4 linked regions of the Elephas maximus indicus genome follow. The protein of the gene in region 4 purifies or fractionates together with the protein of the main gene of each other region. This does not show direct contact. Links are inferred from orthologs where the notes say so. Each region holds a gene or a part of one and is shown on either strand. Other genes may lie near its edges. The genes, in order: CHURC1, CORO1C, ARPC1A and ACTR2.

What was found.
Region 1: the proteins of ACTR2 (region 4) and CHURC1 purify together in Homo sapiens (affinity purification with mass spectrometry; 4 studies listed by BioGRID and IntAct, with this or other methods). This does not show direct contact. The link is inferred for Elephas maximus indicus from reciprocal best matches to the Homo sapiens genes ACTR2 and CHURC1.
Region 2: the proteins of ACTR2 (region 4) and CORO1C fractionate together in Homo sapiens (co-fractionation; 3 studies listed by BioGRID and IntAct, with this or other methods). This does not show direct contact. The link is inferred for Elephas maximus indicus from reciprocal best matches to the Homo sapiens genes ACTR2 and CORO1C.
Region 3: the proteins of ACTR2 (region 4) and ARPC1A purify together in Homo sapiens (affinity purification with mass spectrometry; 9 studies listed by BioGRID and IntAct, counting the BioPlex papers as one, with this or other methods). This does not show direct contact. The link is inferred for Elephas maximus indicus from reciprocal best matches to the Homo sapiens genes ACTR2 and ARPC1A.

The regions. Positions count from the first base shown.
Region 1 is NC_064828.1:77,215,469-77,223,146, reverse strand, and holds the start of CHURC1 (protein Churchill), read right to left. Parts: upstream 3,001-7,678; 5' UTR 2,982-3,000; coding exon 2,862-2,981; intron 1-2,861. UniProt on the Homo sapiens protein: Transcriptional activator that mediates FGF signaling during neural development. Plays a role in the regulation of cell movement.
Region 2 is NC_064840.1:19,274,571-19,281,450, forward strand, and holds the start of CORO1C (coronin-1C), read right to left. Parts: upstream 3,011-6,880; 5' UTR 2,901-3,010; intron 1-2,900. UniProt on the Homo sapiens protein: Plays a role in directed cell migration by regulating the activation and subcellular location of RAC1. Increases the presence of activated RAC1 at the leading edge of migrating cells.
Region 3 is NC_064830.1:102,788,997-102,796,407, reverse strand, and holds the start of ARPC1A (actin-related protein 2/3 complex subunit 1A), read right to left. Parts: upstream 3,004-7,411; 5' UTR 2,913-3,003; intron 1-2,912. UniProt on the Homo sapiens protein: Probably functions as a component of the Arp2/3 complex which is involved in regulation of actin polymerization and together with an activating nucleation-promoting factor (NPF) mediates the formation of branched actin networks.
Region 4 is NC_064835.1:71,461,543-71,469,562, reverse strand, and holds the start of ACTR2 (actin-related protein 2), read left to right. Parts: upstream 1-5,005; 5' UTR 5,006-5,101; coding exon 5,102-5,149; intron 5,150-8,020. UniProt on the Homo sapiens protein: ATP-binding component of the Arp2/3 complex, a multiprotein complex that mediates actin polymerization upon stimulation by nucleation-promoting factor (NPF).

The sequences.
Region 1 (7,678 bases), on a different chromosome or scaffold from region 4:
ACAACAGGAAGATAGCTCAGTTTTTTTCAGTGGGACTGCCCCACAGAGTTTCCAAGGGGCACCTGGTGGATTCAAACTGCCGATCTTTTGGTTTGCAGCTGTAGCACTTAACCACTATGCCCCCAGGGTTTCCTTAGTTCCTTTAAGGGTCACCTATCCCATTTCTGAATACCTTTTAGAAAGTTCTTTATCCTGACTCAAAATGTACAATAACATAACATCCACCCACTAATTACTTCTAAATCCACCTTCTGAATTTCCAAAGAAAAGTTTAATTCTTCTTCGTGACAACCCTTTAATTATTTTACAACATAATAAAATCTGAGAAAAGTGTGCTTCTAGGCACTTTCCTGGTTTTCCAATCACCTCAATATGTTTTTCTACTCTTTAGTTCTTACAGTTTCCTTTATTTTCTTTCCTAAATTAATTCATTCTTAGAAACACAATTCTTAATTCTGGCTGGTTCTCTACTTCCCCAGCGGGCAAATCCTTTCAATTTTGACATTTTTATTTGACAGACTCATTTGTTAACACCAGTCTGAATCTCACATCCAAACTGCAATTTAGTATCTTAATTTGACTTCTTAGATGCTATATTCTGTACCTCAAATGAAACACTATGAAAACAATCTGAAAACTTGGGCCCAAATTTTGATTCTTTCTCCCATATGCCTCCAATTTCTATAATGATACTTCCAATTTTCCAGTTGCCTAAATTGAAAACCTTAAGATCATCTAAAGTTTTTCCTTATTGTTTTCCTCCTACATTAAATTGGTTGAGTCATTTTAATTCTTTCTTTGAAGTGAGGTCTTCATTACCTTATGTCTACACTACTGTTACCATGGCTTCCCTAAATGTTCAGTGTGTTTCTAGGCTCTCCTTTTTATAATTGCCCCTATCCCCAGTGTCTATAGCATAAAATTTAAAAGTCTCAATCTCATTTTTAAGTCTTTGAACTAGCTCCACTCTCAAGAATCTAATCTGCTCTCTTCAAAACTTCTTCCTCACGGTCCCTGAATTGTGCAATGTTCATTATCAGATTCACAAAAATACCTTTTTAATTAAAAAAAAAAAAAAAAAGAATACAGAAAGGTGCATGAAACATAAATGCACAGCATATTATAAACTCAACACCTGTGGATTACTGCCTGCACCACAGAAGCCCTCCCCCCATGTGAGCCTTCTCGATCATTCCCTTGATCATTATTGCCCCTTAGCAGTAACCACGATTACTTTATAACTGTTTGCTTTCTTTAGAGTTTTACCACCTAGTTATCAGAAAGCAAGTTGCCATCAATTTTGACTCACGGTGACTCCATGTGTATATATCCTTAAATAATGTATTTTAGTTTTGCCTGCTTTGAATTATACTTTATGTATTCTTTCATCAACATTGTATTTCTACAGCTTATTCAGGTTGTTGTGTAACTTTAGGTTGTTCATTTTCATTGTTCTAATTCAGGGTTTCTCAACCTTGGCACTGTTGACATTTTGAGTTGGATAATTCTTTGTTGTAGGGGGCTGTCCTGTACACTGTAGGATCTTTAGCAACATCCCTAACCTCTAGTCGCTAGATGCCAGCAGTACTCCACCCCCAAAATGTGACAACCAAAAATGTCTCCAGACATTGCTAAATGTCCCCTGGAAGGCAAAAGCACCCCCAGTTGAGAGCCATGGTCTAATTCACTTTCATTGCTCATTCATTCAGTGTTCTATTCTATAAACATATCGCTGTTATTTCTCCAGTCTACTACAACTAATGCCTTTTGAACACTTATACATGTCTCCCGGGGCAGATGTCCATGAATTTCTTTAGAAGGGGAACTGCTGGGTCACTCAATATGCACATCTTTAACTTCATTTGATAATGCTAAACCTTTTTCCAAAGTGGCTGGACTATATGAGAGTTCCTGCTGTTGTATCGTTCTGAAAAGACTTTGGTATTACTCACAAAAATCTAAGATACAGAAGCAACTAGGTATTTTCTACCTCCCAACCAATGCAAGAATCCTCGTTATTATTTTCCACAGCCTCGACACATCCTTTCCTTCTCTTCTACCCTAATCACAACTATTAAGTCTTAATCGAAGTCCACCTTCAATTAGGTGGATAAAAGCGCTACCTCCGACTGCTCTCCCCTTTCTCTAAACTTGATGAGCATTTATGTGGCACTCATTTTTTGATTAATCACACGCTTTCCCCCAACTCTTACACAGGGCAGGTCTTGCCTTTCTTTTATCTCCTTTGGTGTCCCTTTCTGGCCTAACAAAGAAATCTAGCTACAGACATATAAATGCTGGATAAGTATACACTGAATGAATGAGAAAGACAAGTTTTGCAACCTCCTGAGTCTAAAAGGAATAAAAAAGTTACAAGGTGGACTGCTGGGTGAAGTAACAGCTGGAAATCTTAATTCTCGTCCTGCCTTCAGACTAACTAGAATGTGAACTAAAGTCATTTCTGCTCCTCTGAGCGTTTCTTCATCTACAAAATTAGATTAGAACAGATTTTAACTCAGAGGTCCCTTCCAGGACTAGAATTCGGTAAGAAAACTGAACTTCGTCAAACCGAGCTCGAGAATGAGCCCAGGATGGGTGAGCGTCCCTCTGTTGTCCGCTAGAGCTCAAAAGAAGGGGGTGTCAGCTAAAATCAATCACCAATGCGGGGACCAGAGAGAAGAGACGGCCACAGGCCGTCCCGTGTCACGGGCCTGAAGAAAGCTACCGGGTCACTGGCCCGGGCACTGCGGCTCAGTGTGCCCCGCGCCTGCCTTTCAGGGAAGGCTGGCGGGGGTACGAGAAGCCTCAAGGGCCAGCCATGGGCCGCGGGGGCGGGAAGTTCTCGACGTCCACTCGCTCACCCGGTTGGGATACTCCTTCTCCACACAGTCGCCACACATCGCGACGCCGCTAACACGGAAGGTCCTCCAGCGTCTCCGTGAAGACGAAACCTCGCGAGAGCTAGGAGAAGATTGTCGCATGCGCTCCAAGCAGTCGACCTTGAGGGGGTTGGTCCCGGGAACGGAGTCGAAGTCTCCGCCCTTAGCAACTGTTGTTAGGGCAGGGCCTGGTCTCCCGGGCAACAACGGTGGGCTCAGGGTACCAAAACCAAGCCAAACCCTTTGCCGTAGAGTCGATTCCGATTCATAGTAGGATGTCGGATATTTGGGAGAGCCGACTAGCTGAGGGGACGGGAAGGGGACGTGATCTTGGACTGAGCAAAGTTCTAATAGGTGCCTTTCTGGTCTTAGGTTGACAGACAAATCACAATACACAGGAAAGAGAATTGTCTTTTTCTGCCTCGGCTTACTCCATATATCACACTGACCTAATAATTTAAATACTTTCCTGCACCATTTCTTAGGGAAGCGAGAGTGGTAAGAGATGAATAAGCAACAACTGAAGTGTTTGGGAAAGAGGCATTTAGAGATCTGCTGAAAATCTCAAAAGAACACTTAAAATGTTAATAATAAATGACCATCTCAGAGTCATTTGGAGAAAGAACATAGCTTTGGAAAACATGTTTCTATCTCCGTGACACAGAAGCACCTCAGAGGCAGGCAGGCACTATAACAAAACAAAACAAAACTGTCGTCGAGTTGATTTTGACTCGTAGCAACCCCATAGTATTTCCAAGGCTGTAAATCTCTTCTTTTGCGAGCCGCTGGTGGTTACGAACAGCCAAACCTTCGGTTAGCAGTCCATCGCTTTAATCAATGTGCCACTATGTAAACAGAAAACGTCCAGGTCAATTATCCCGGCATCACTTCTCAATGATTGATTTCAAAGAGAGCAGCGGTGCTTCAATGATAGAATTCTTGCCTTCCATGATGGGAGACTTGATTTGATTCCCTGTCAATGCACCTCAAGAGCAGCCACTACCTGTTTGTCAGTAGGGGCTTGCGTGTTGCTATGATGCTGAACAAGGTTTCAGCGGAGCTTCCAGACTAAGATGGACTAGGAAGAAAGTCCTGGCAATCTACTTCTGAAAATTAGCCAATGAAAGTCCCACGAATCACAGCCATGGTGGGGATAGTGCAGGACTGGGCAGCATTTTGTTCCGTTGGGCATGGGGTCCCCATGAGTCGGGGCAAATCCCATGGCAGCTAACAGCAACAATACCAATTTCGAGATTTTAAAATACTTTCCATTGGTACCTTGGCTCTTCTTTTCCCTCTTTATTATTCACAATGACATAATTAACCTGAATACTAATCTCCAAAATCCACTTTGCACTTCTGAACAACCTGTCCTCATCATATCCAGCTATTCCAACAGAGATATTTAATGAGAATAGCAGTATCCTTCCTTAACCCTGCTTTATTGCAGTCAGGTCAGTGAAGATATGGGGGAGCATATGAAACTCTGGCATCCAGATTCTTTAAAGAAGAGATTAATAACCATTTCAAAGCAAACTAGTTTAATTGGGTTTGCTAATATGGTGATTATATCTCCACTGTCAGATTGGAATTGTAACATTTAGCATTTTGGTCTCTGGGAATGGTCTGCAGCTGTTACTAGAAATCAGAGGCATGCTAAGAGCATGAGCTAGTGCCCTCAGAGTTCATTTTACTTGGAATAATCATAACACTTCCCATACCTATGACATTTTCAAGCTTTCAAAGTGTCCTCATTTCAGTTTCTAATTTTATCCTTATTATAACCCTAAACAATGAGAAAGAAAAGTGTGTCTTCTCTTTTCAGATGAGACAATCAAGGAAATAAGGTTAGCAGCTGAGCACATTAACCATGTGCACCATCCAGGAACACCAGTGTAGCTACTAGAAAATTTTAAATTACATATATGGCTCAGATTATATTTCTATTGGATATTGCATGTCTGTACAATTCTCCCTTGTGATCCATTTTTAAATACTTCCTCTCTTTTTAAAGTCTAATGCCAAGTTTTATTTTTCTTAACCATGGTATCTATTTTACTCAATTCTGTAGACATTTGTTGAGTACCTTCAGTGCTTAGGGAACTGCGGGCAACAGGAAGATGAAAAAGACATTTTCCTTCCTTTCCTACCTTACATTAGCTCACAGTAGAGCCCGAGAGATAAAATGAGCACAAACTCCTAAAATTACTGACAATTTGTGGTATTAAAGCACAAAATGGAGAGAATACTTCCAGGTGAGGGGTTGGGAAAGGGAAATTTGGACCTGGAAAGATGTAGAGGAATTAAAAAATCAGAGATTTTTAGTATGGGAATTTCAAGTGGACCATGCCAAGGAGTTTGGATTTTATTCTGTAGGTTCTAGGAAGTCAGTGAAGGTTTGAGCAGGAGAGTGGTATCAGAGTTGTGGTTTAGGAGGATCATTTATCAGCCTTTTGTTGGGACTGATCAGAGCCAGTCAACTCATGGGATCAGAGCAAGAAGAAATTGAAGATGTAAAAGGCAGACACTAACAGGTACCACAAGGGGGAGATGTATAGCTTTCTGCCTCACAACTAATACAGACCATGTATAACAAAAAAATTTAAAATAAAATAAAAATTACAGTGCAGTCTCAAATCTCAAACAGCATGTCCTTTTGTACATCTATTTTATGTTCTGAGGCATGAAAGGCAATCTACATATTTGTGAGGGTCTTTTTTTTTTAACTTTCCCAGAGTGATATCATATTTTTTTTTATTAAAATAAGCAAGTAAATAAAAAATTCCTCTTATTCATAGGCATAAGAGTTCACAACTACCACAAAAGTTCAACAGCTACTGGTTATCTATCCAGTGAAGTCCACCATTCAAATCTGGCCACACAGAGGGGAGAAAGCAAGTGAGCCTGGAGAAAGGGAGTGAACAACACTAGAAATTAGTGTGATTGTAGTAACAGAAATATGAAAGTATCTCAGGTTGAAAGATGGAAGAAGGGGAAATAGATGTTACTATTAGCACTCAGAAGGAATGAACATAAAATAATTTTTAAGAACCTAAAATACTACTACTACTAATTCTCTTTGCTTTTATAAGGAATTATATAAAATAAAAAATGCAAAAAACTAATGCTAATAATAATTCTCATTTCTTTTCTCTTATAAGGAATTATATAAAGTTTCCAGATACCATTTTAGGATTACCTTCTAACAGAATTTTCATCGTGTGATGTCAACGACGTGTATCAAATATAGCCATATGTTGCAGTTCATGCATGAGATTGCCTCTTGGTAAAAAGAATCAATTGAGGAAAATCTAAACGTTAAATGGCCCTACTTGTTGCCTCAATTACATGCTCTAAACTACATTCCTTTAAAAGTGCCATTTGAATCCCCTTTTAACACCCTCTTTCTTTTATACCTTTTCTCTTTTATGATGCCTAGTCATGGGCTAGTCCTTTGTTTAAAGGGATGAGGAAGCACCCAGAAGCCTTTATGGTGCCACTGTCAGGCCAATTTCACTGGTGGAGGAAAGCTCATCTCTAAGTAGGCTTGGTGAAGGTGTGTGTTATTCTTTCCATTGTCTCAAGGAAAGTGTGAAATAAGAGTCTTTGGTTGTCTTTACCTGGTATCACCTGCCTGTGTTGAATGAGTTAGCATGATTCTAGGTGAACACAGTGAACAGAGGCTAGCCTGGCCTGAGGGCAGTTACCAGAGCATCGAAAGTTTCAGGGTCAGCAGCTTTTATTAGTTTGGTGGCTGAGTTGGACTTTCTTCCCTTTTAGGGAGGGCAATTAACAACAGCAAGGACAATAACGACAGAGTTTCCCTAGCCCACTTTGGGCTACTTCCCTTCTTCAGATTATAACCTAAGAAAGTTTCCTCTTCAGATTATAAGCATCAGCTTTTCAAACACATGGCATTTAAAAGCAAGGGACTGAGATATCCTTTAAATTTTGAACTGAAACCATTCCCAGAGGTCACCTTTCAGCTCAATAACAGATTGGCTCATAAAATAAACAATATCACCCATAAGTACAGTGTCCCTTAAAAAAAAAAAATGAGGTCAAACACTCAAAACGTACCCTAAAGCAAAGATGAGAAGATCAGGGAGGGCAGAGAAGCTAGATTAATGGAAACGGAACAACCAGAACAGAAATAAGGAGAACGTGGACACAGTGTGGAAAATGTAACCAACATCACTGACCAATATGTGCAGAAATTGTTAAGTGGGAGCCTAATTTGCTGTGTAAACTTTCACCAAAAACACAATAAAATATTTAGAAATAAATAAATAAAAGCAAGGGAATCGCCACTGTTTCCCTTTCAATCCTTTTCCTCAGCGCTCCTCACTTTCTTCTCAGATACAGATGATTTGTTCCATATAAAAACTTCGCAATATATGCCAAAATCTGATGTAGCAGCCTTTGGAGGAGTATTATCTCGCAAATTTTACATAGATTGAATGGATTTACTAATGAAAATATAACTGGGTTTTAGGTATGCTTTCATTTTATTGTGTGTATGTTTGTTCTTTTCTAATACATACCCCAAGGATATAGTCAGACTCAGAGCAGACTTTTGTTTTATACTCTGTGTATTGACTTTGAGAGATTAAGGCATTTGGAATTTTTAGAGGAACTGAGGGAGAGAGGAAAAGGAAGTCAAGAGGCTCCTGTTTTGTCTTGCAGAATGGCCCAGCAGAGGGAGGGTTTACTTTAAGGTTATTCAGGTACAAAATTCATAGGAATCAAGAAGCTTGGGTAATTTTTTTTTTTAATAATTTTTATTGAGCTTTCAGTGA
Region 2 (6,880 bases), on a different chromosome or scaffold from region 4:
AGGTACTAGGTCATACTGAAATATTCATGAGGTTTTCCTGTTTTAATACAGAAAAGGCATCTTAAGTTAAAAAGGACTTTCCCAGAAGTGTCAGAAAAAGAGTTTTCGGAACTCAGGGAAAGGAAGGTATCAAACGGAAAATAAGCTTAAGAGTTTTTATCACATGATTTTGCGCCCTGAATATGAAAAGTGGTACCCAAATTTATTATTGCTCCACCCACAAAAGAGGTCAAAGGTAAACAGCCTAACTAACAATACCTGTTTCTAAAGCAGCAGTTTGTGACAAAGTAAAATATTAAGAAACAAATATTTTGCAATCATGAGAATTGAAGCTTTCACATTCCCAGGCATATAATAACTAAAAACTAATCATTTATCCTTTTGGACATTCCATTTCACAGGCATTAGAGCAACTCTGCTCCTCATGGTTGGAGCAGATCCCAGAAGTGACAGATGCGTTAAGCCTACAGTTTAAATTTAAAAAATCCAACAGTGTTTAAAAAATATTTGCCAATCCTGCATCTAATCCTAAACTACACAGACAGTAAAAGACATAAATGCTGATTAGTGTCATCTATAGGCAAAGTAATAAATGATCATGAAAAATTCCATACCGTGTGCAGTGATATTTCACTGGCATGTCCTCCCCCCACCAAAAAAAAAGCAAACCCATTGCCACTGAGTTGATTCTAACTCATAGCAACCCTATACGATAGAGCAGAACTGCCCCATAGGGTTTCCAAGGCTGTAACCTTTACTGAAGCAGGCTGCCACATCTTTCTCTCACAGAGCAGCTGGTGTGTTTGAACTGCTGACCTTTCTGTTAGCAGCCGAGCACTTAACCACTGCGCCACCAGAGCTCCTTCACTAGCATGTGTCTATTAAAATTCATTAGGCTTTAATGTACCGTTAACATGAACTCAAGAACAAACACAGACAAGGCACATTTTGGATTTATGAAAAAAGGTGTGTTCCTGGCTTGTATGACCCACCTTTGTTCAATCCTCAGTGTACGTGACTATCACCTACCACAAAATAGTGTACTTCAGGGTCTAATGTACTGTATATTTCTCTGTATTAATTCACTTTTTTCTTCCCTATCAATTTATGCAATTGCTCAGCTCCAGTGCTTACTATTAGGCTTCATATCCTAACATTATGACTGGAACATATCTCCACGCCAAATAAATGTTTCCGTAAATCAGCCTTCTTAAATGTACAGGCTCATGTCCAAAAGGGGCTTTCTTCAGTTTTGTAGGGAATGAAGAGAGTGAATCAATATTAAACAGACATGTATTAGCCACTGCTTACACTTAACCATGTTCCTGTCTATTCCAGCAGGCCCTGGTGTCAGGAGGGATTTCTGCCAGATAAGGACAATGAGATGCATTATTATATAGAGTGACTAAGAGCCCTACAAGCACTGTTTTAGAACGTAAGCCCAGGCAGGAAGGTTGGTTGTGCTAAGAGGATCTAGTATTCTGTGATAACTATTTCCAAAAGTCAATATATGTGCCACCCAGTACCAGTTTAAAAACACGCACTAAATTCGATTCCTTTAAAATGTCTTATGGGAAAGAAAGGCTATCCTGTAGATGAACAACTTGCAATTTGCTTCTCACTGTGAATCCCACGTTTGCAACACGTAGAGCAAGCACTTCAGACACCACAAAACAAGGGCAGCCTACATTAAGGCCAAATATAGGGTGTGATCCTAAACCATGATGCAGTTAAAGCCTACATTTCCTTTTCCAGCGCTGAAAACCCTTTGAACACTCCCAAAAAAGGACCGCAGGGCCTGTGCCTCCCTCTAAGAGGAAGCCCCTTTCTTCTCCGCTCGCTCCCCGCAGCCTGCGGCTTCCCCCTACACATTCAAATCACTGGAGAGACAGAGAGCTGGTGGTGTGCCTGCGCCGGTGTGGACGGCGGGAGGGCTCGGTTCCTGCATTTTCACCCTCAACATCTGACCTCATGCTCAGTCACTGGGGCGCTGCGGAGCCCCACCTGCCCCCCGCTCCTTTTGATTACTCCCTCCAGCTGCCCCACTAAGAGGGGAGCACATCCCTGGATCTCCCCGTTCACTCTCCGCCCCAGACCCCCCACTCTGCAGCGACCCTGCTCCGGTCTTCCTCTTGCCCCCGCCCCCGCCCCCTCCACCCCGCCAGCCCCAGCCCTCGGATCCCTCGGTCCGGCTCTGCCTCCTCCCAAACCGCCCCCACCCATATTACTCCAGCTCCAGCCCTGCCCCGCCCTTCCCGGGCCCCTACCCCAGACCTTCAGGGCTCAAAGCTGATCTTGCACCCAGAGCCCGGCGACCCCCAAAACCCGGGGGCCACCCTCGCGCCGGCCCCACACGAGCCCGGTCCCTACCCACCCCCACCCATTCGCTCCCTAGGGCGGCTCAAACCCCGCCCCCAGGCCTGGCGCCTCGGGGCCCTGCTCCCCAGCTGCAAGCGGCCCCTCCTCACCAAGCACTTCACCCATCGAGGGGGGTCTCGGACTCCTCTGAAACCTCCCTCGGGCAGCCCCCTCCGCACTAGCCCCCACCCCTCCCTCGGCCAAGAAGGTCCTGAACCCCTAAAAGCCTCCCCTGAGCGGCCCCCTCCCCACACGGACCCGGGCCCATTCTCCCCAGGCCAAGTCGTTCTCTCCCCAAACCTCCCCTCATCCAGATCCCCAGCCTCCCGCAGCAGCCCCCGGCCCTAACCCCTGCACATCGGCCGGGGCGGACCCCGATCCGACTATCCGCGCTCCACGCGCGGACCCCAGTCCGCTCCCCTCCACTGGGCCCTGCCCCACGCCCCGCCGACTCCTGTCAGCCGGCACCGGCACATGCTGCGAGGACCGGTTCCCGTGCCCGGCTCGCTCCCGAGCGGCCCCACCGGGCGCGCGCCGCTCACCAGGGCCGAGGTGCCTGAGGCGCCGCCGCCGCCGAAGTCCCCGCTGCAAAGCCGGGCGAAGCCTCTAACCGCTGCCGCCTCCGCCTGGCACTAAGCGCCGCGCGGGGGAGGGGCGCGGGCAGCCGCCGCTGCTGCCGCTCTCAGACCCCGCCCCCGCGCCGCATCGCGCCCAACCAGGGCCGCCAAACTGGGGCGGGCCCCGCCCACTTCCGGGAGGGGAAGCCCGCTTCCCACCCCTCGCCCCGCGCCCGCTAGCGCCACCTCTGGTCGCGCCGAGGGATGTAGGTGGGGCCCGGAGGAAGGCGGTGTCCAAGCGTAAGCACCGCCCACCAGTCATCGAAGAGGCCGCAGGGCCACGCCCACAAGCTCCTCCGAGCCACGCCCATTGCTTCAAAGAAGCCGACGCAGGCTTCTTACAGCTCCGCACATCGGTCCGCGAGGCTGTGAAGGGCCAGGACCCTCCGGCCCCGCAAGGATTCACCCACAGTCCCTTAAAACCCGAACATCAGCTTCTCTGAGCCCCGCCCGCTGCACATCAAAAACCCTTAAGCCAGCTTCTTGGCTCCCTAACCCGACTTCTTGCCCATGGCCTTAGAACTCACTCGTGGGCGCCACTAAACACCGTTTCCCCACCCCGATTTCCAGAAGCCCCGCCCACAAATCCGGAATTCTATTCGCGACATCCCAGAGTCCCGACCTCTGCCCCGAATTCTAGAAGCCCCGCCTCTGGCTTCAGAAGCTCCGCCCCTGCTCCCTTCACACCCTCCAGCCAAAGTTCCAGCCCTCCCTCCACCTCCCACTCCCACATTCCTAGTACAGATTGGCAGCCCCTGGGCTGGGCCACACACACCTAACCCCCCACAGTTACACAGGAGGTTCTGTTATTGACCACGTTTCGCAGGTGAGAAAACAGAGGTTCCAGGCTCCCTCCCTTCCTTTCCCTGGCCAAAGTCCTTCACTTTGTCTGCTCTGGCCTGAAATTCAGCTGGTTCCAGTCGTAGCTCTGCACCTGTCAGACTGTGTGACCTGGGGCAGTTCCCTTCACCTCTCAGCCAAGCGCTTAACCACTGCACCACCAGGGCCCTTTCCTAATATTTAGCTTGAGGAAGTTGTCTGTCAATAGCCAGAGTCCCTTTCAGGTTTGGGAAAGTTGGGCAAGAGGAACGGAACTGACAAAACAACTGCTGAGAGTTAGGGCTATTTACTTCCCAAATCCAGGCATGTTTGCCATTGACACTGGGACTCTCATTTTAAACATCAGCCTCGGAGGGACATGTGTCCACCTAAACCAAAACGTCTACCAATCACTTTCACAGCAAATTACTTATCCTCTCCTCAATTTCTTTATCTGTAAAAATGGGGGGGTGGGGTGGGTAATAGCAGTCCCTCCCTTGCAAGATTGTGGAAAGAATTCCATGAGATCATCTTTGTGCCTGGCTTGGGAAAGCCCACCAGAAATGGTACCTGTTGCTACTGTTGCTGTTATGGAGAGGTGGCTTTCACTTTGCCTTCAAGTAGCCACTGCAAAAAAACAGGGCCTCATTCACCAGACTGAGTCCAGTAAAACTACATGGTGCCCAGCTACCACCACTGACTGCTCTGACAGGGCTTACCATAGAGGGTCCTGGACAGAGCTGGAGAAAAATGTAGAACAAAATTCTAACTCAGAAAGAAAGACCAGACTTGTTGGCCTGACAGAGACTGGAGAAACACAGAGTATGGCCCCCGGAAACCTTTTCAGCTCAGTAATGAAGTCACTCCTGAAGTTCACCCTTCAGCCAAAGACTGAACAGGCCCATGGAACACAACAAGACTAAAGGGGCATACCAGCCCTGGGGCAGGGACTGAAAGGCAGAAGGGAACAAGAAAGCTGTAATAGGGAACCCAGGGTTGAGAAGGGAGAGTGTTGACATGTCGTGGGGTTGTTAGCCAATGTCATGGAACGATGTGTGTACTGTTTGATGAGAAATTCGTTTGTTCTGTAAAGCTTCAACTAAAGTACAATTAAAAAAAACAGGGCCCCCTTTCTGCACAAGATTTTACACTTACTTCATTTAAATGAGATAAAGAGGTAAAGGACCTAACACCCGCAAACAATTTGCTATCGTTATGATTCTTATCCTTAATTAAACGAGGTGCCTTGATAGCAGTGGGTTCTGATTGGTTTGGGGGGAAATGAGGGTTAATAAAGCTCTTTGAGATTGAACCAGGAACCAATCTGGTTTACTCTTTAGAGACAAATTATCGTTAGTATTTATTCATGACTTATAGAAGCAGGTGCTACACTGAGCGCTTCACATACAAAATTGCCTGAAAACTCCTCAACAATCCTATGGCCATAGAAACAATTCTTTTTTTTTAATTTCATTGTGTCTTAAGTGATAGTTTACAGCACAAATTAGTTTCTCATTCAAAAATTTATACACAAATTGTTTTGTGACATTGGTTGCGATCCCCACAATGTATCAGCACTCTCCTCCTTTCCCTTTCCACCCTGGGTTCTCCGTGTGGAAGGGCAGTTCCAGTTTTCCCATCCCTTCCTGCCTTCTCATCTTTGGTTTTGGGCAGGCGCTGCCTATTTGGTCTCATACACTTGATTGAACTAAGAAGCACATTCCTCATGTGTGTTATTGTTTGTTTTATAAGGCCTGTCTGATCTTTGGAAACCCTGGTGTGGAGTGGTTAAGAGCTATAGCTGTTAACCAAAAGGTCAGCTGTTCGAATCCACCAGGCGCTCCTTGGAAACTCTATGGGGCGGTTCTACTTTGTCCTATAGGGTCGCTATGAGTTGGAATCGACTCGATGGCAATGGGTTTGGTTTTTGTGGTTTTGGTCTCATCTTTGGCTGAAAGGTGGACTTCAGGAGTGGCTTCAGTTCTGAGTTAGCCGGGTGTCCAGGAGCCATAGTCTCGGGCATAGAAAAAATTATTAATCCCCACTTTATAGGTGAAGAAACTGAGATTTGGGAAGTTAAATGACTTGCCCAAGGTACACAGCTTGAACCAGGCAGAGCTAATACCGGAACCCGCCTCCATCTAATTGCAGTACTGCGCTCTTTGTCGTTACACTCAACTGCCTCCATGACAGCGTGATGGAATAGAAAAGCCATGGACTTTGGATGCTGACAGAGCTGGATTTAAATTCAGGTTCTACCACTTATCAGTTGGGTGTCCTTGGGTAAATCACATTAGTCTATGGACCCTACTCTTCTCAACTGTAAAGTGGGAGTCATCCAAATGCTTCAGTCATGGGGTGGTTTTAAAGATTCAATGAGTTAACCCATGGTGAGCACCCAGCACTATGCCCAGCACATACCAAAAAAAAACCAAACCAGTTGCCATTAAGTCATCTCCAACTCATGGTGACCCTATGTGTGTCAGAGTAGAACTGTGCTCCATAGGGTTTTCAGTGGCTGATTTTCCAGAAGCAGATTACTGGACTTTTCTTTCAAGTTGTCCGTGGGTGGACTCGAACCTCTGAACTTTTAGTTAGCAGCCAAACTTTGTACCATTTGTACCACCCAAGGACTCTTATGCCCAGCACATAAACCAAAAACCAAACCCGTTGAGTCGATTCTGACTTACAGCGACCCTATAGGACAGAGCAGAACTGCCCCATAGGGTTTCTGAGGAGCGCCTGGTGGATTCAAACTGCCGACCTTTTGGTTAGCAGCTGTAGCTCCTAACCACTATGCCACCAGGGTTTCCACCCAGCACATAACCCCAAAACCCAGTGCCATAAAATAGTAGGTGCTTAAAACATGTTGATTCCCTTCTCCCCAGTTCCTTAAATGATGAAATTAGAAGTACGATTTCCCATGACACTAGTTCCTCCCAGATGACACCATCACGAAGGTCATCAAATACACGGAGAAAGAAGAATGGCAAGACTTTTGCCTTACAGCTGTGTGTTTCAGTGCCTCGTTTTGTCTCTGTGTTGGAGAGGTAATTCTTGCAGACAGTACCAAAGCCAGAAGCAAT
Region 3 (7,411 bases), on a different chromosome or scaffold from region 4:
ACACTGGTTAGTATCTTCTGAACTTGGAAAAGTTTACGTAAGCTTTACACTCTTGGCCCTCCTCCTCCAGGGCTTCATTCAAGATATTCACACCAGTGGGGTTTTCAGTTCCTGGTTTAGAGTCAGTCTTCAGGACTGTGATTCATCCTGTTTCTAATTGCTCTCATTGCCCAACCTGGCAACACCAGGCACTCTTACCAGGCCACCCCACCCTCCCTGGTGCTCACCGAGACAGGCTGTAATGCCAGCACTGCCTCACTGGCAGACCCCTTTAAACTTCTTTATAAAGAACAACCATTTCTGCATAGGATTAGATAACTGGATCAAAATATTGTCACTCCCCCTCCAAAGCAGGAGTTTTAATTTTCTGAGATAATTCCCTCCTTTAATTGCGAGTTGTTGTTGTTAGGTGCCAAGGAGCTGGTTCCAACTCATACTGACCCTATGCACAACAGAACGAAACATTGCCCATTGCTGTGCCATCCTCATGATCCCAGATGCTTGAGACCGTTGTTGCAGCCATCGTGTCAATCTAGTTGAGGGTCTTTCTCTTTTTCGCTGACCCTCAACTTTACTAAGCATGGGACTGGCCCCTCCTAATAACACGTCCAAAGCGAGACAAAGTCTAACCATCCTTACTTCTATGGAGCATTCTGGCTGTACTTCTTCCAAGACAGATTTGTTTGTTCTTTTGACAGCCCATGGTGTATTCAACATTCTTCACCAACACCATAATTCAAGGGTGTCCATTCTTCTTCAGGTTTCCTTATTCATTGCCCAGCTTTCGCATGCATATAAGGTGACTGAAAACACCATGGCTTGGGTCAGGCCCACCTTAGTCCTTAAAGTGACATCTTTGCTTTTTAATTGTGAGTAGTAGATGAATTAACTCCTGAAGGACTCTGAGTACTTTGTGGTAAGAGGTGGCCAATAGTTAAACACACTCCTTAGTGGGCCAAAAACACCTTCCTGACTGCTATCCTCTCTTTTGTTTTTAGACACCTGAAAAATCCACAGCAAGCCTGGGTGGCACAAAAATTTAAGTGTTCGACTGCTAGCCAAAGGTTGGCAGTTCGAACCGACCCAGAAGCACCTGGCGATCTGCTTCTACAAGGTCACATCCTTGAAAACCCTATGGAGCAGTTCTACTCTGCACACATGTGGTCACCAGGAGTCAGAATCAACTCGATGGCAACTAATAACAATCACCTGAAACCGAAAGGTTGAATAAAACTGAGAGAAGAACCAAGGAGAGAAGAACCAAGATAATTTAGGAAATTTAGGCAATGAGTTGAAATGGAAGTAGGTTAGAATCTCCTTCAGGTTCCAAAGTCACAGTATGAGAGCAGGTGGCTTTATAATCAAAGATTCTAAGCTACCATTTATTCAGTGCCTAGCTATTATGCTGAACAGGTTTCAGCGGAGCCTCCAGACTAAGACTACAAAGAAAGGCCTTGTGATCTACTTCCAAAAATCAGCCAATGAAAACCTTACGGATCACAACAGTTGGATCAGCAGCTGATCATGAGCATGGCGCACGACTGGGCAGCGTTTTGTTCAGTTGTGCCTAGGGTGACCGTGAGTCGGGCCTTCTCCATGGCAGCTAACAAGAAGTCATGTTCCTAGCAGAGGAGTAGGTACCTGGTTGGGGCCAAAAAGCCTAAAGCCAAACTTGTTGCTGTTGATTCCGACTCGTATAAAAAAAAATCTGGCATCTTCCTGGCCCTTAAGGTCTGGGAAAGGGGGTGAGGAAGAGAAGATAAATATGCATAGAATACCCAGGAGCAGTAATAACCCATAATGGTTACTGAGCACCTATTCTGGTCCAGGAGCAACTGTGAGCAATTTATGCAAATAAACTCATATGATACTCAGAAAAATTCTGAGACTTGGTTACCAAAATTATTGTCCTATTGCAAAAGGGAACAGAGACAGAGAAGCAATCTTCCGATGGTCGCCCAATAAACAAAGCGGGTTTAGAACACTGGCAGTCCGACTGGGTGGTTGGAATGTGGAAGGTGCTACATCAAAGGTTCCGCTAAGCAAGTGTTGTTGTTAGGTGCTCTCAGTCAATTCGGACCCTATGTGACGGAAAAGGAGTGCAGAAACAAACAAAAAAACAAACTGGTTGTCCTGGAGTGGATTCTGACTCATGGCGACCCCATGTGCTACAGAAAAGAACTGCTTCATTGGGCTTTCTTGGGTGTAATTTACAGGATCGCTATGAATCGGAATCTACTCCATGGCAGTAGGCTTGTTTTTGTTTTTTCAAATTTTTAGGGAAGCAGATCTCCAGGTCTTTCTTCCTCCGTACCATGGGGGCGGGCTCGAACTACCAACCTTTAGGTCAAGAGCAAATGTGCAAGAGGAGATCGGAGGAGGGTGCAATTGAGACTTTAAGGAAGGCAGCACTGGAGGGGAGGAATCTTAAGGATCTGGGGTGGGGAGTACATTTTTCTAGAGTTCAGGCGGATCCCCCAATAACTGAAAGATTGAGTGCTGCCCTAGACAGGTGCCACGGGTGCCTACTGTGTGCCGCGACCCATTCTAGTCGCTAGAGAAAGAAATTAATGGTCCCTGTGACGCCCCGGTTAGAGCGACATTATCCCACTTCTCCCAATTTTACTGCGATAAATGCCTACAATAGAGATGCAAATAGGGGCTTGGGGGTGCAGAGGAAGCCGTTAATTCTCGCATTGGAGGCGGCCTGATGTCTTGAGGAAAGCGATCTGTACGTGTGGGGACCCCAAAGACTCGGGGGGACCCTGGAGAACGGGGCCCGGGGCTGGAGACCCGGGCCGCCCCCCAGCCTCGGGGCCCCACGGCCTAAGCCCCCGTCTCGCCGCCCCCGCGGGCTGTAGCCCGGCACCGCGGAGGCCGCCAGCGCCTGAAGCTCCCCCGCTGCCCCTTACCTGGGATCGGGGCAGTCCGGTCCGGCTCGGAGCGGCGAATTCGCGGACTCTGGTCAGTCGACGCGAACAGGCTCCGGCGGGCGCGGGCGGAGGCCGGAGGCCGGGAGGGAGCGGCTGACAGATTCCGGAAGTGGCTACGGCGCCTGCGCAGCGCGGCCGGCCGGGGGTGGGGGAGGTCCGCGCACGCGCACAGCCCAGGCGTTGGGTCGGGGCGCCGGCCGGATGTGGCGGCGGAGCGCGGAGACCCTCAGCCGCCGCGCCACCAAAGGGCATGCGAGTCTCCTTTTCTTGAAAAACTTGCCCAGAATCTCAGGCCGAAGTGCGGAGCCGTGGCGTTTTCACAAGGGCCCTTGTCACACGGTGAATTCTTCAGCGTTGGAGCGTCTCGAGCCCTTTGCACCTTCCAGCGGATACGCTTCTGTCACTTCAGAGAGACGGTCAGAGGGGCGACCGGTGCTCGGCTCCCTGCGGTTCTCTGCCGGCCCCAGGCCGCCTCCGAGCGCTTCCAGTGCCGTTAGCAGCGCCCTGCCCTCGGTCGGGCCGCCTCTGCCATGTTCCCTCCCCGGGAACCTTCTGGAACCTTCTCTACCCTTCCTCCGTCAGAATCACTTGCTTCTTACGCCCAAGGTGCCTCCAAAAAAAAAAAAAAAAAAAGGAGTTGGTGGAATTTAACAACCCGAAAAAAGAAAAAAAAAGTACGTGAAGACACTGTTTCCTTTGCAGGTGAAGCTTCAGAGAAATGCCCTGAACCCCACTTCCAACTAGATTGCTGCCTTCGAACCCATAGAAATTATGGAGCAACCCTCCTGCCTTGGGTGCCACTACGGGTCAACAGCCAAAAACCAAAACCCGTTGCCAACCCATAGGACCCCGTGCGTTACAGAGTAGAATTTCCTGGGGTTTTCTTGGCTGTAATCTTTGACGATGCTGATCGCCAGGCCTTCTGTGGCACTGCTGGGTGGGTTCAAACCACCAACTTTTAGTTTAGTAGTTGAGTGCCTATGTCGTCCCCTTTGGTGGTTTCCATTCTTGAGCCCAACGCTGGATTGTGTGAACTCCCAGTTTCATAGCCACACTGCGTTCTTTCAGGTTAGTTAATGCAGCTATTCATGTAGCACTAATGAACTGGAAGGAATTGGTTTTACTCTGTCCCATGGCTGCAAAGTCTTTGGTTGTAGGGGGAACAAGGTCAGGTAGGGTAGAGATGCAAAAAGGTTAAGTTAATAACCCCACTAAGAGACAACCTATTGGCAAAGGAAGGACAGCATGGATGGAAAGCAAAATCCCTTATGGCCTGAAGTTACAGGAGGCAGTTCCCAACTTAGGTAGAGCCAGTAAAACCAAACCTGTTGCCTCGAATTGATTTTGACTCATGGTGACCCCGTGTGCTTCAGAGTAGAACTGTGATCCACAGGGTTTTCTTGGTAGTAATTTTTACAGAAGCAGGTTGCCAGGTCTTTTCTTCTGCGGTGCTGCCAAATGGATTAGAACTGCCAGTGTTTCAATTAGTAAACCAAAAAAAAAAGACCAGACCCATTGCTGTCAAGTCGATTCCAACTCATAGCTGCCTATAGCGATTAGTAGCTAAGTACAAACCATTTGTACCACCAGGAATCTTGTAGAGTTGGTTGTTGTGTGCTGAGTCGGTTTTGACTCGTAGCAACCCCTTGTGAGAGAGCAGAACTGCCCCATAGGGTCTCCTAGGCTGTAATCTTTATAGGAGCAGATCACCAGGTCTTTTTCCCATGAAACTGCTGGGTGGGTTTGAACCACCAGCCTTACATTTAGCAGCCAAACATTAGACCACTTAAATGCTGTGCCTCCAGGGCTCTTTGGTAGAGTTGGTACCCAGAGTTAAAATACCAATAGTATTTTATCTGGATCACAGCTATATGAAGGACAGTTTCTTCTTTTAAGAAGTTTATAATCTGGACGAGGTCCTTGGGTGGCACAAACAGTTTGCATTTAACTACTAACCTAAAGGTTTGTGGTTTGAACCCACCCAGCAGTGCCTTGTAAGAAAGGACTGGCAATCTTCTTCCCTAAAGATTACAGCCAAGAAAACCCTATGGAGCAGTTCTACTCTGTAACAACATGGGGTGGTCATGAGTTGGAATCAACTCAATGGCGGTGGGTTTGCTTTTTTTTGTTATAATATGGAGAAATAAGAATAACACATGCAAATTAACAATATCAGATTTTATATGAGAAATGATAAAAGAAATAACTTAGTTTCCCTCAAATGATAAGCACATTTAATAGTAATCTCTGGTTCTGCTTTTAAATCAGCATTTTGCATTTTAGTGTAAACAAAGCTTACGATTTGGTGTATTTTATTTCATGTCTTATGAGTCATTCCAGACTGAAAGGAGCCTTTAAGTTAAGCCAAGTTATTATGTAATTGAGGAAACGGGACCAGGGGTTTTAAAAACTTGAAGGTTTCGATATAAATCAGTGACAGGGCTGGCGTTTTGATGCCTAGTCCATTATACCATGAAGCTGGGCGTAAAAGCTATTGGATTTCCAAAGAAGGAGGTTTTTTTTTTAATAATTTTTATTGTGCTTTAAGCAAATCAAGTCAGTCTCTCACACAAAAACCCATATACACCTTGCTACACACTCCCAATTACTCTCCCCTTGATGAGACAGCCTGCTCTCTCCCTCCACTCTCTTTGTGTCCTTTTCGCCAGCTTCTAACCCCCTCCACCCTCTCATCTCCCCTCCAGGCAGGAGATGCCAGCATAGTCTCAAGTGTCCACCTGATCCAAGAAGCTCCCTCCTCACCAGCATCCCTCGCCAACCCATTGTCCAGTCCAATCCATGTCTGAAGAGTTGGCTTTGGGAATGGTTCCTGTCCTGGGGCAACAGAAGGTCTGGGGGCCATGACCACCGGGGTCCTTCCAGTCTCAAGTCAGACCATTAAGTCTGGTCTTATGAGAATTTGGGGTCTGCTTATCCCACTGCTCTCCTGCTCCCTCAGGGGTTCTTTGTTGTGTTCCCTGTCAGGGCAGTCATCGGTTGTAGCTGGGCACCATCTAGTTCTTCTGGTCTCAGGATGATGTAGTCTCTGGTTCATGTGGCCCCTTCTGTCTCTTGGGCTCGTAATCACCTTGTGTCCTAGGTGTTCTTCATTCTCCTTTGATCCAGGTGGGTTGAGACCAATTGATGCATCTTAGATGTCTGCTTGCTAGCATTTAAGACCCCAGATGCCACTCTTCAAAGTGGGATGCAGAATGTTTTGTTAATAGATTTTATTATGCCAGTTGACTTAGATGTCCCCTGAAACCATGGTCCCCAGACCCCTGCCCCTGCTACGCTGGCCTTCAAAGCGTTCAGTTTATTCAGGAAACTTCTTTGCTTTTGGTTTAGTCCAGTTGTGTGACCTTGTCTGTATTGTGTGCTGTCTTTCCCTTCACCCAAAGTAGTTCTTATCTACTATATAATTAGTGGATACCCCTCTCCCACCCTTCCTCCTTCCCCCCCTCATAACCACAAAAGAATGTTTTCTTCTCAGTTTAAGCTATTTCTCAAGTTCTTGTAATAGTGGTCTTATACAGTATTTGTCCTTTTCACTCAGCATAATGCCTTCCAGGTTCCTCCATGTTATGAAATGTTCCACAGATTTCTCACTGTTCTTTATTGATGCGTAGTATTCCATTGTGTGAATATACCATAATTTCTTTATCCATTCATCAGTTGATGGGCACCTTGGTTGCTTCCATCTTTTTGCTATTGTAAACAGTGCTGCAGTAAACATGGGTGTGCATATATCTGTTTGTGTAAAGGCTGTTATTTCTCTAGGATATATTCCAAGGAGTGGGATTGCTGGATCATATGGTAGTTCTATTTCTAGCTTTTTAAGGAAGCGCCAAATCGATTTCCAAAGTGGTTGTACCATTTGACATTCCCACCAGCAGTGTATAAGTGTTCCAGTCTCTCCACAACCTCTCCAACGTTTATTATTTCGTGTTTTTTGGTTAATGCCAGCCTTGTTGGAGTGAGATGAAATCTCATTGTAGTTTTGATCTGCATTTCTCTAATGGCTAATGATCGTGAACATTTCCTCATATATCCGTTAGCTACCTGAATGTCTTCTTTAGTGAAGTGCCTATTCATATCTTTTGCCCATTTTTAAATTGGGTTTTTTGTCTTTTTTGCAGTTGAGTTTTTGCAGTATCATGTAGATTTTAGAGATCAGGCACTTATCAGAAATGTCATAGCTAAAAACTTTTTCCCAGTCTGTAGGTAATTTTTTTACTCTTTTGGTGAAGTCTTTGGGTGAGCATAAGTGTTTGATTTTTAGGAGCTCCCAGTTATCTAGTTTTTGTTCAGGAGTAATTTTTAATATTAGTTTTTTTTTTTTTTTAAGACTTATGTGATTTGTAATGAGGGAACAGTGGTGGGTCAGTGGTAGAATTCTCACCTTCCATGCGGGGGACCTGGGCTCGATTTCCAGCCAGCGCACCTTAAGTGCAGCCACCACCTATCTGCAGTGGGGG
Region 4 (8,020 bases):
AGTATAAATCCCAAAGCACAGATCCCTACTTTTTTATCATACTTTCACTTGGTCCTGATGTCACTACAATGTTAATTTTATATCATCAAATGCAAAGAATGTTCACGTCAAACATCCAGACCGTCTAGAGTGCTATCAAATATCTTAACGACAATATTTATAAATGTCACTTTAAAATGTAATTAACCTTGAGGACACAATCAGACAAATACAGCACACTGGACATTTCCTACAAGACAAAAAGTGTGAACTCTTAAAAACGTGTCCTGAAAAAAAAAAATCAGAGGGCTATTCTAGATTAAAAGATTACAGAGACATAATGGCAAAAGCAATGTATGAACCTTGATTGGGTCTCAATTCAGAGGCAGAAACAGCTATAAGCATTTTGGGAACAAGTGGAGAGCCATGAATATGGGCTGGATATTAGATAGGATGGAATTATTGCTTATTTATTTTATAGGTGTGATAATAAGACTGTGGTTTTGTAGAACACTGTACTTATTCTTAAAAGGCATATGCTGAAAAACGTAGGCGTGAAATGCCATGAGGAAACCCTGGCGGCGCAGAGGTTAAGTGCTACGGCTGCTAACCAAGGGTCTGCAGTTCGAATCTGTCAAGCGCTCCTTGGAAACTCTATGGGGCAGTTCTACTCTGTCCTATAGGGTCGCTATGAGTCGGAATTGACTCGATGGCACTGGGTTTGGTTTCTGAGTTTTGAAATGCCATGATGTCTGAAATCCACTTTCAAATCAATTAACTTGTGTGACGTTAGCTACTTGCAAAGTTAGGGCATAGTCCACCAAGGCCACTCTCACTTCTGACACCAACTGCAGAGTTCGGTGGTTCTCAAAACCACCCTCAGGTTCAATGATTCACTGGAAAGACGCACAGAACTCAGTGAAAGCTGCCATACCCACAGTTGTTGGTTTAATACAGCTAAAGGATACAGATTAAAATCAGCCAAGGGAAGACATGCACAGAGCAGAGTCCAGGCGGGTTCCAAACGCAGAGTTTCCAGTTGTCCTCTCCCCATGGAGTTGTGGGCAGCATTCACTCCTCCTGGTAAAAATCTGTGACAATACACACAGAGTACTGCTAACCAGGGAAGCTCATCTGAGGCTTGGTGTCCAGAGTTTTTAATTGAGCTCCATCATATAAACATGAATGACTGCCCACATGAATGATCTCAGTCTTCAGTCCCTCAGGAGGTGGTGGAGGTTGAGGTAATACTATGTGACCCAAAGGCACCCCTGGAAATCACTTTGATGCTATCTAGCTGGTCCAAGGCCCCCAGGTGTACAAAGATGCTCCTATGAGGCACAACATTCCTAGGGCTAAGAGATTACCTCCCAGAAGAGAAGGCAAAGGCCAGACCTCTCTCTTTGGGCAAGGTTAAATTCTTTAGAACACAACTTGCTTCCAACTAACTTGGTTTAATACTGTTTGTTAATATAAATACTTATCTTCGCAACATAAATAAAAATAGCTTGGAAGAAGTTAGATAATTGACAATATAAAGAAGTACTTTTCTGTCATAAGTACAAGCCTTTTGGTTTACTGACTTATAAACCAAACAATTAAATAAATCACATAGATGGCCCCTTCCTGAGTTTTTCAGGTACAGAATAAGAGAGCTAGATTAGATAGCTACAGTAATACTATCAGGTTGTAAAATGAGTGAACATCTTTGGATGGAATTAAAATTCTGCCCAAAACATTCTGTTATGGATTGAATCATGCCTCCCATAATTTATGTTGAAGTCCTAACCCCTGGTACCTGTGAATGTGACCCTGTTTGGAAATAGGGTATTTGAAATATTATCAGTTAAATATCAGACCATACTGAAGTAGGGTGGGTCCTAATCCAATCTGAGTTTGGTCCTATAAAAGAGGAGGAGAGACAGAGACAGACAGAGGAAAGATGGCTATGTGATGACAGAGGCAGAGTTGGAGTTATGCTGCAGCTGCAAGTCAGTGATATCTGGGGCTACCAGAAGTCAGTAAAGACAAGGAGGAATATTCCCCCAAAAGACCTGGGAGACAGCATGGCCTGACCAACATGTTGATTTGGACTTCTAGCATCCAGAACTGTGAAACAGTAAATTTCTCTTATTAAAAGTCACCTAATTTGTGGTATTTGTTATAGCAGCCCTAGGAGACTAATACAGATTCTGGTTCCAGAAAGGGGGATGTTGCTGTAACAAATACTAAAAAAAGTAGGAGTGGCATTGGAATTGGGTGATGGGTAGAGGTTGGAAGAGTTTTGAGACGCCTGATAGTCAAAGTTCAGAGTGCCTTCAAGAGACCTCCGGTGCGGGCTCAGAAAGAAGTGTAAACTGCAGAGAAAGCTTCTATCATGAACAGAATGTACTAGAAATGTGGACGTTAAATATGCTTCTGGTGAGACCTTAAAAGGCAATAATGAACATTGTTAGACCTTGCTAGCCTTACTTTTTTAAAGGCCCCAACTCCCCCATTTGTAAAATGGGGATATCTACCTAGCAAGGTTTTTGTGCAGGAAAACAGAAGGCAATGAGGCCCCCAAAATTCAATAACCTAAAATGTGAGGTCGCATTAGTAAGAAGTCAGTGGAATGACTAGGATGTGCCTGTCTGGTGGGCAGGAGCCAGTCACCAATAGTGTTGTATCTGGATCTACATCATCAAGGGGTTTTGCTGCATTTTCCATACTGTACTCAACAGGTATTTGCTGACATTTTCTACATTCTGCATGACTTGTTTTTAAAATCAGAAGAAAGTAATAAATGTTATTTCTTAAGAAGTAAAAATTAGTAATCCATTTCATCCCATAAGAAGGAAAAGTAAAAGACCACAGAAACGTTTGAGATCAATTTGCTAAGACCAATTAAATGTACTTCCAGGAAAACTGCACTGTGCTAGGCACTGGGGCCATAAAAGTAAGATATGGACTCTACTGGAGAAATTTATGAACTAATGCAGTATTTTTCAAGGTGTTCAGAAGGCTGAAGTACCTCAACAGCTGTTGAAGCAGGTGAAGGGAGAGCATATTACCCTGAGGCCTCCTACCCTCTCCCACTTCTCGATCTTCCAACTGCAGCTATGGCAGCTTTGCTTTTTACCTATTTGATATGTTGGGGTTCCATAAGATAAATTTGAATAAAGGATTCTATGCCTTTAAAAGTTTGAAAATCATTGGTCTAATAAAAGAACAAGGAGCCCTGCTGGTGCAATGGTTATGTGCTTGGCTGCTAACCAAAAGGTTGGTAGTTTGAACCCACCCAGTGGCTCTGCAGGAGAAAGACCTGGCAATCTGCTCCTGTAAAGACCGTTGTTGTTCGTAGGTGACGCTGACTCGGTTCTGACTCATAGTGACCCCATAGGAAAGAGCAGAAATGCCCCATAGTGTTTCCAAGGACAGGCTGGTGCATTTGAACTGCCAACCTTTCTGGTTAGCAGCCAAGCTCTTAACCACTACACCACCAGGGCTTCAAGCCTAGGAAACCCTATAGAGCTGTTGTACTCTGTCATATAGGGTCGCTAGGACAGCACCCGACAACAACAAATGAAAGAACTAAGTGAAAACAGGAGGCAGACTGGTATTATAGAAAGAATACTGTCTGGGGCTTCAGGATCCAAGTTCTACTCTAGTTGTACATGCTGTGCAGCCACGTAGAAGGTACAATTCTAGTTATCACATCTCTAAAATGTCATTTTCCTAGATAAACGTTAATGTCACTCATTCAATAAATACTTGTCCAGTGTAATAAGGTTACAACGAGGTTATTCATATATCCGTGCTAAAGTAATAGCAAAGAAAGGGAGTAAAGAGCATGTGGAGGATATCTTGATGTGATAAGTTGGGCCAAACCCACTGCTGTGGAGAAGATTCTCTCACAGTCACCCTGCAGGACAGAGTAGAACTGCCCCATAGCTTTTCCGAGGCTGTAAATCTTTATGGACTGCCACATTCTCCTCTGGAGTGGCTCGTGGGTTTTGAACCGCCGATCTTTCAGTTAGCAGCCGAACGCTTTTAACCACTGTGCCACCAGGGCTCCTCGAGAAGTTTCTCAGCTGATTAAAAAGAGAAAAAAAGTGGGGGCATTACAGATAGAGAGAACTGCACTGTTGAAAAGTATGGAATTAATAAACAGCTACCACTGAATGAATGCTTAGTCCATGCACAGAATTTTGTCCTCACAACAACCCGTGGAAGATGTCATCCCCACGCACAAACAAGGGTACACGCAAATCATAGAAGTCTTCATTGGCAGGGGCTGATTTGAAACTGGGGCTGTCTGATTCCAAAGCCAAGGCTCTGGTTCAAACATGTACATGTACCGCGCAGGTGTGAAGTAGCACGGGTGCTGCTGAGAGACGGAAGTGGTGAGCGAGGAGGCTGGAAACGTAGGCACTCGCTCTCGCTCTCTTTACTGTGGAGCAACTTGGGCAAAGGACGATTGGGCTGGAAATGGAGATATCAGTATAAATCCATGATTTCGAATAAATACGTGTGTGTATCTATCCCAGCTCTGTCTACTGAGAAGGCCTCGACTGGAAGCAATGACACACCAGGCCACGTTCAATGACGGGGTCTGCAAGGACTTCGGGTTTGCTCCCCGCCCTCCCAGCTGGCTTCTCTGCCACCTTCCATCGCCACCTCGCGGCACACCTGGTGCCCTTCACCTGCCTCCGCCTTCTGCATCGTGCAGCAGCACCCTCAGCTCCTGCGACGCCTTCGGGAGAAGGCCACAGACCCACCAGGTCGGCCGCCATTAACGCCCCAGAAACACCAGGAACCGGGCGCAGAAAGGAAGAACCTGTGTGGGCGGTGCCCGTGGCAGCGGCGCTGAAGCCCAGAGGGGTGGGCGGGGCCTTCGGCTCCTCCGTTTCTCATTGGAGTTTGTCCCTGCCAGTCGCGGCCTCCGCCCCACCTCCTCCGAGCCGGCCGTCCGGTAAAAGGCGGGCGGGGCGGGGCGAGGCGGGGCGGGGCGGCGACTTCCGGTTGGGGAAGAAAGTTGGGCCGAGGGAGGGGCCGCGAAGAGGAAGGAGAAGGAAGAGGAAAGGCCGGGCGGCGGTGTCTGTAGGTTGTGCGGCGACGGCGGCTCTCCCCCGGGCGGACGATGGACAGCCAAGGCAGGAAGGTGGTGGTGTGCGACAACGGCACTGGGGTAAGCAGCCGGCGGGGGAGGCGGTGGCGGGCACAGGCCCCGGAGGATGTGCGGGGGGCGCGGGGGCCCTTAGTGCCCGGGGCTCGCCTCTGGGCCCGGCCCGCCGGGGCGAAGGGGGAGCGGCCCGACGCTTCCCGCCTTCGCGGACTCGGGGAGCAGGCGGGCCAAACCCTCGGCCCCCGGAGCCCGCCACCCCTGCAGCCGGCCACCCCCGCAGCCCTCCCTGTCAGGGCTGCGGGCGAGGTCGGCGGCGGACGGGAACCCTACCTGCTGGCCCGGCGGGGGCCGGCTACGTGCACGCGCGGGGGCAATGTGGCCAAGATGCCCGGAGGGGTGAAAGGCAGGGTTTGTGGGATTCAAGATGGGTTCATCCCCAGGGTCGCCAGTGTGCAAAAAGGAGGAAGACCAAGAGGCCTTCCTCTTCCTGTATAGTTGAAGATACTGAACGGGAGGCAGGAAACGGGTTTAAAGAAAAAAAAAAAGGAAGTGCTGTCTGTCGTGCGCGCAGTGGGCCTCACCCCTTCGCAGTGAGGTTTTTTTTTTTTTTTTGAGGAGGGGGAGGCTCGTCTTTTTACTTTTTTCTGTATGTTGGTAATTTGGCCCCTTTGCAGTCCGGCGGAGACCACGTGCTCCATAGGATTATCCTGGGACATCTAAGACCCCACAAGGCCGCAGTGTTCATTCCACTGTCCTTGGGGGGATGGGAGTTAGTCAGTTTTGGTCTTCTGCCCCTTTTTTCCTTAGGTGCAGAATACAGATTTAGTCTTTAAGATCCTAAAATGCAAGCAATTGTAAAAATCCGACGAGAGCACTGATTTAGAAACTATTTGAAAGTTATTTCTTTCAAACGCCCTCCTATAATTAAAAAAAATGTATTTTGGGCAGCGGAGTCAATCAGCAAATTAGAAGATGGAAAGGTTACTTACTTTGGACGGGTGCTATACTGGTCATTTTCCCCTAGGTTACAGTGATTTCTAACCGTTTTGTAGTTGCAACGTTTTGTGACATATGAATTAAAATAGATTTTACTTATACTTTAAAATAAACACTTTGGAAACTGGATTGTTCAGGGTGAAAAATACCTGGTACTCACTTCCATACTACTGCCCTTGATTGAATTTGTTACGGATTTTTTTTTTTTTTTTTACAAGCAATAATTATACTAGTTTCATCTGAACCAAGTTACAAATTGACGAGAGTAAAAAGTTACCATATAACGGGACATCAATGCAAAATGGAGTACTTAAAAAAACGGCAGACCCACTGCTGTGGAAACATGTCTGAGATGTATCCTGAAGTTTTTTTAAAAAAAAGCTTTAGAATGATTCCATGTAATGTGTGCGTTCTTTATTAAAGATACTCATACGTCCACACACTGGTATCTATATTTAAAATTTTTGGAGGAATGCATAAGAAATGCCCATAGTGGTTGCCTCTGAGACAGGATAAGAGTAAGGGAAGTGGGGAAGAGGACAATTTTTTTTTACTATAAGCATGTATTACTTTTACAGTTAACTCAGTTAAAGGTGCTTTTTAAAAAAAGTAGTCTGATTTCCACTAGTCTCAAGCTGACCTCTAAATAAATTTAAAACTTTAAATTGAACTGAAATACTTTATTGTGTGAATAGGTCTGATATTCTCTTTAGAAATCTGAGCAACTTGTATTTTAATGGAGTTTCTCATCCTTGGGGGATTCTAGGCAACGAACCCTGTATTTGTAGTCTGTATTAGTGTTCTCATACTCTATTAGAATATGAATGTTAACTGTAAGGTGGCTCGTTTTTATCTTACTATTTTGTCAGTTTTGCTGATATTAGAAAGCCGATTGCATATATGTCATGGATTTGTTTTGTATCCATAATTTAAAATTCTAGTTTTTTAAGACAAAAGATCAGTTATGACATAAATGAGAAAAATGTAGTTAATTCAAATAAGAATGTATGTATTTGGTGTTGAGTTAAGGTTATTTTTGAAATTCATTCAGATTTTTTGTAGATAAACGCTTGGCTTAAAATGAAGAAACAGCTCTGGTAATATGTAATCAGGAATGCTGTGATATTTCTAAAAATTTGGAGGGTTAAGGACCACTTAGATTCTGTATTCTGTTTCTTACTGCTTATGCTTCTAGACTTGAATAGTCATCTTGATCTTATTTTATGTGCCTGAAGTCATAGTGTTTCCTTTACAATTACATATTAAAGAAGATATTCAGATTTAATTTCTAAAAATTATTTTTAAAAAAAAGCTACTACCCTGAATTATTGTCATTTGCCCTTTACACACTTGAGGTTTTAAAATTCTAATCTATTTGAGAAGTTGATGATTTTTTTAACCCATCTCACAGGCCCAAAATTGGATGCTCTTAGGAGTGGATGGGTTTTTATGATCACGTACCAGACACTGGTCCTGCTCCATTTCCTCACCAGCCCCCAACTAGACCACTGTTTCATTAGGGTGAGCTGTAGGAGGAATACTTAAAATTTATGTGCTTTGGCCTTATAACTGTTCAAACCTGTCGGCTAGAACAGAGCCCTTGAAAACAGACAGACAGACAAAACTCTGGAGACCTGTGGGGCTCTAGGTTTAGGTGCCTTTGAAGAGTTGGGCCCTAGAGTTGTGTGTATCCTGTTACCAAACTTGGATGGTTTCATCAGTAGTGAGTGAGTTCACCAACAACAGTGAAGACTTCCTGGGTGCCTACTGTGTGTGTTATGGCACAATGCATAAGATCTGGTGATACAAAGTAGTGTATGCTAGAATAATTATATTTTCATTTTTAATACACATTTGTGGTTGATAAAAAAAAAAGCCCCCAATGCTGTTGAGTCGATTCCGACTCATAGCGACCCTGTAGGACAGAGTAGAACTGCC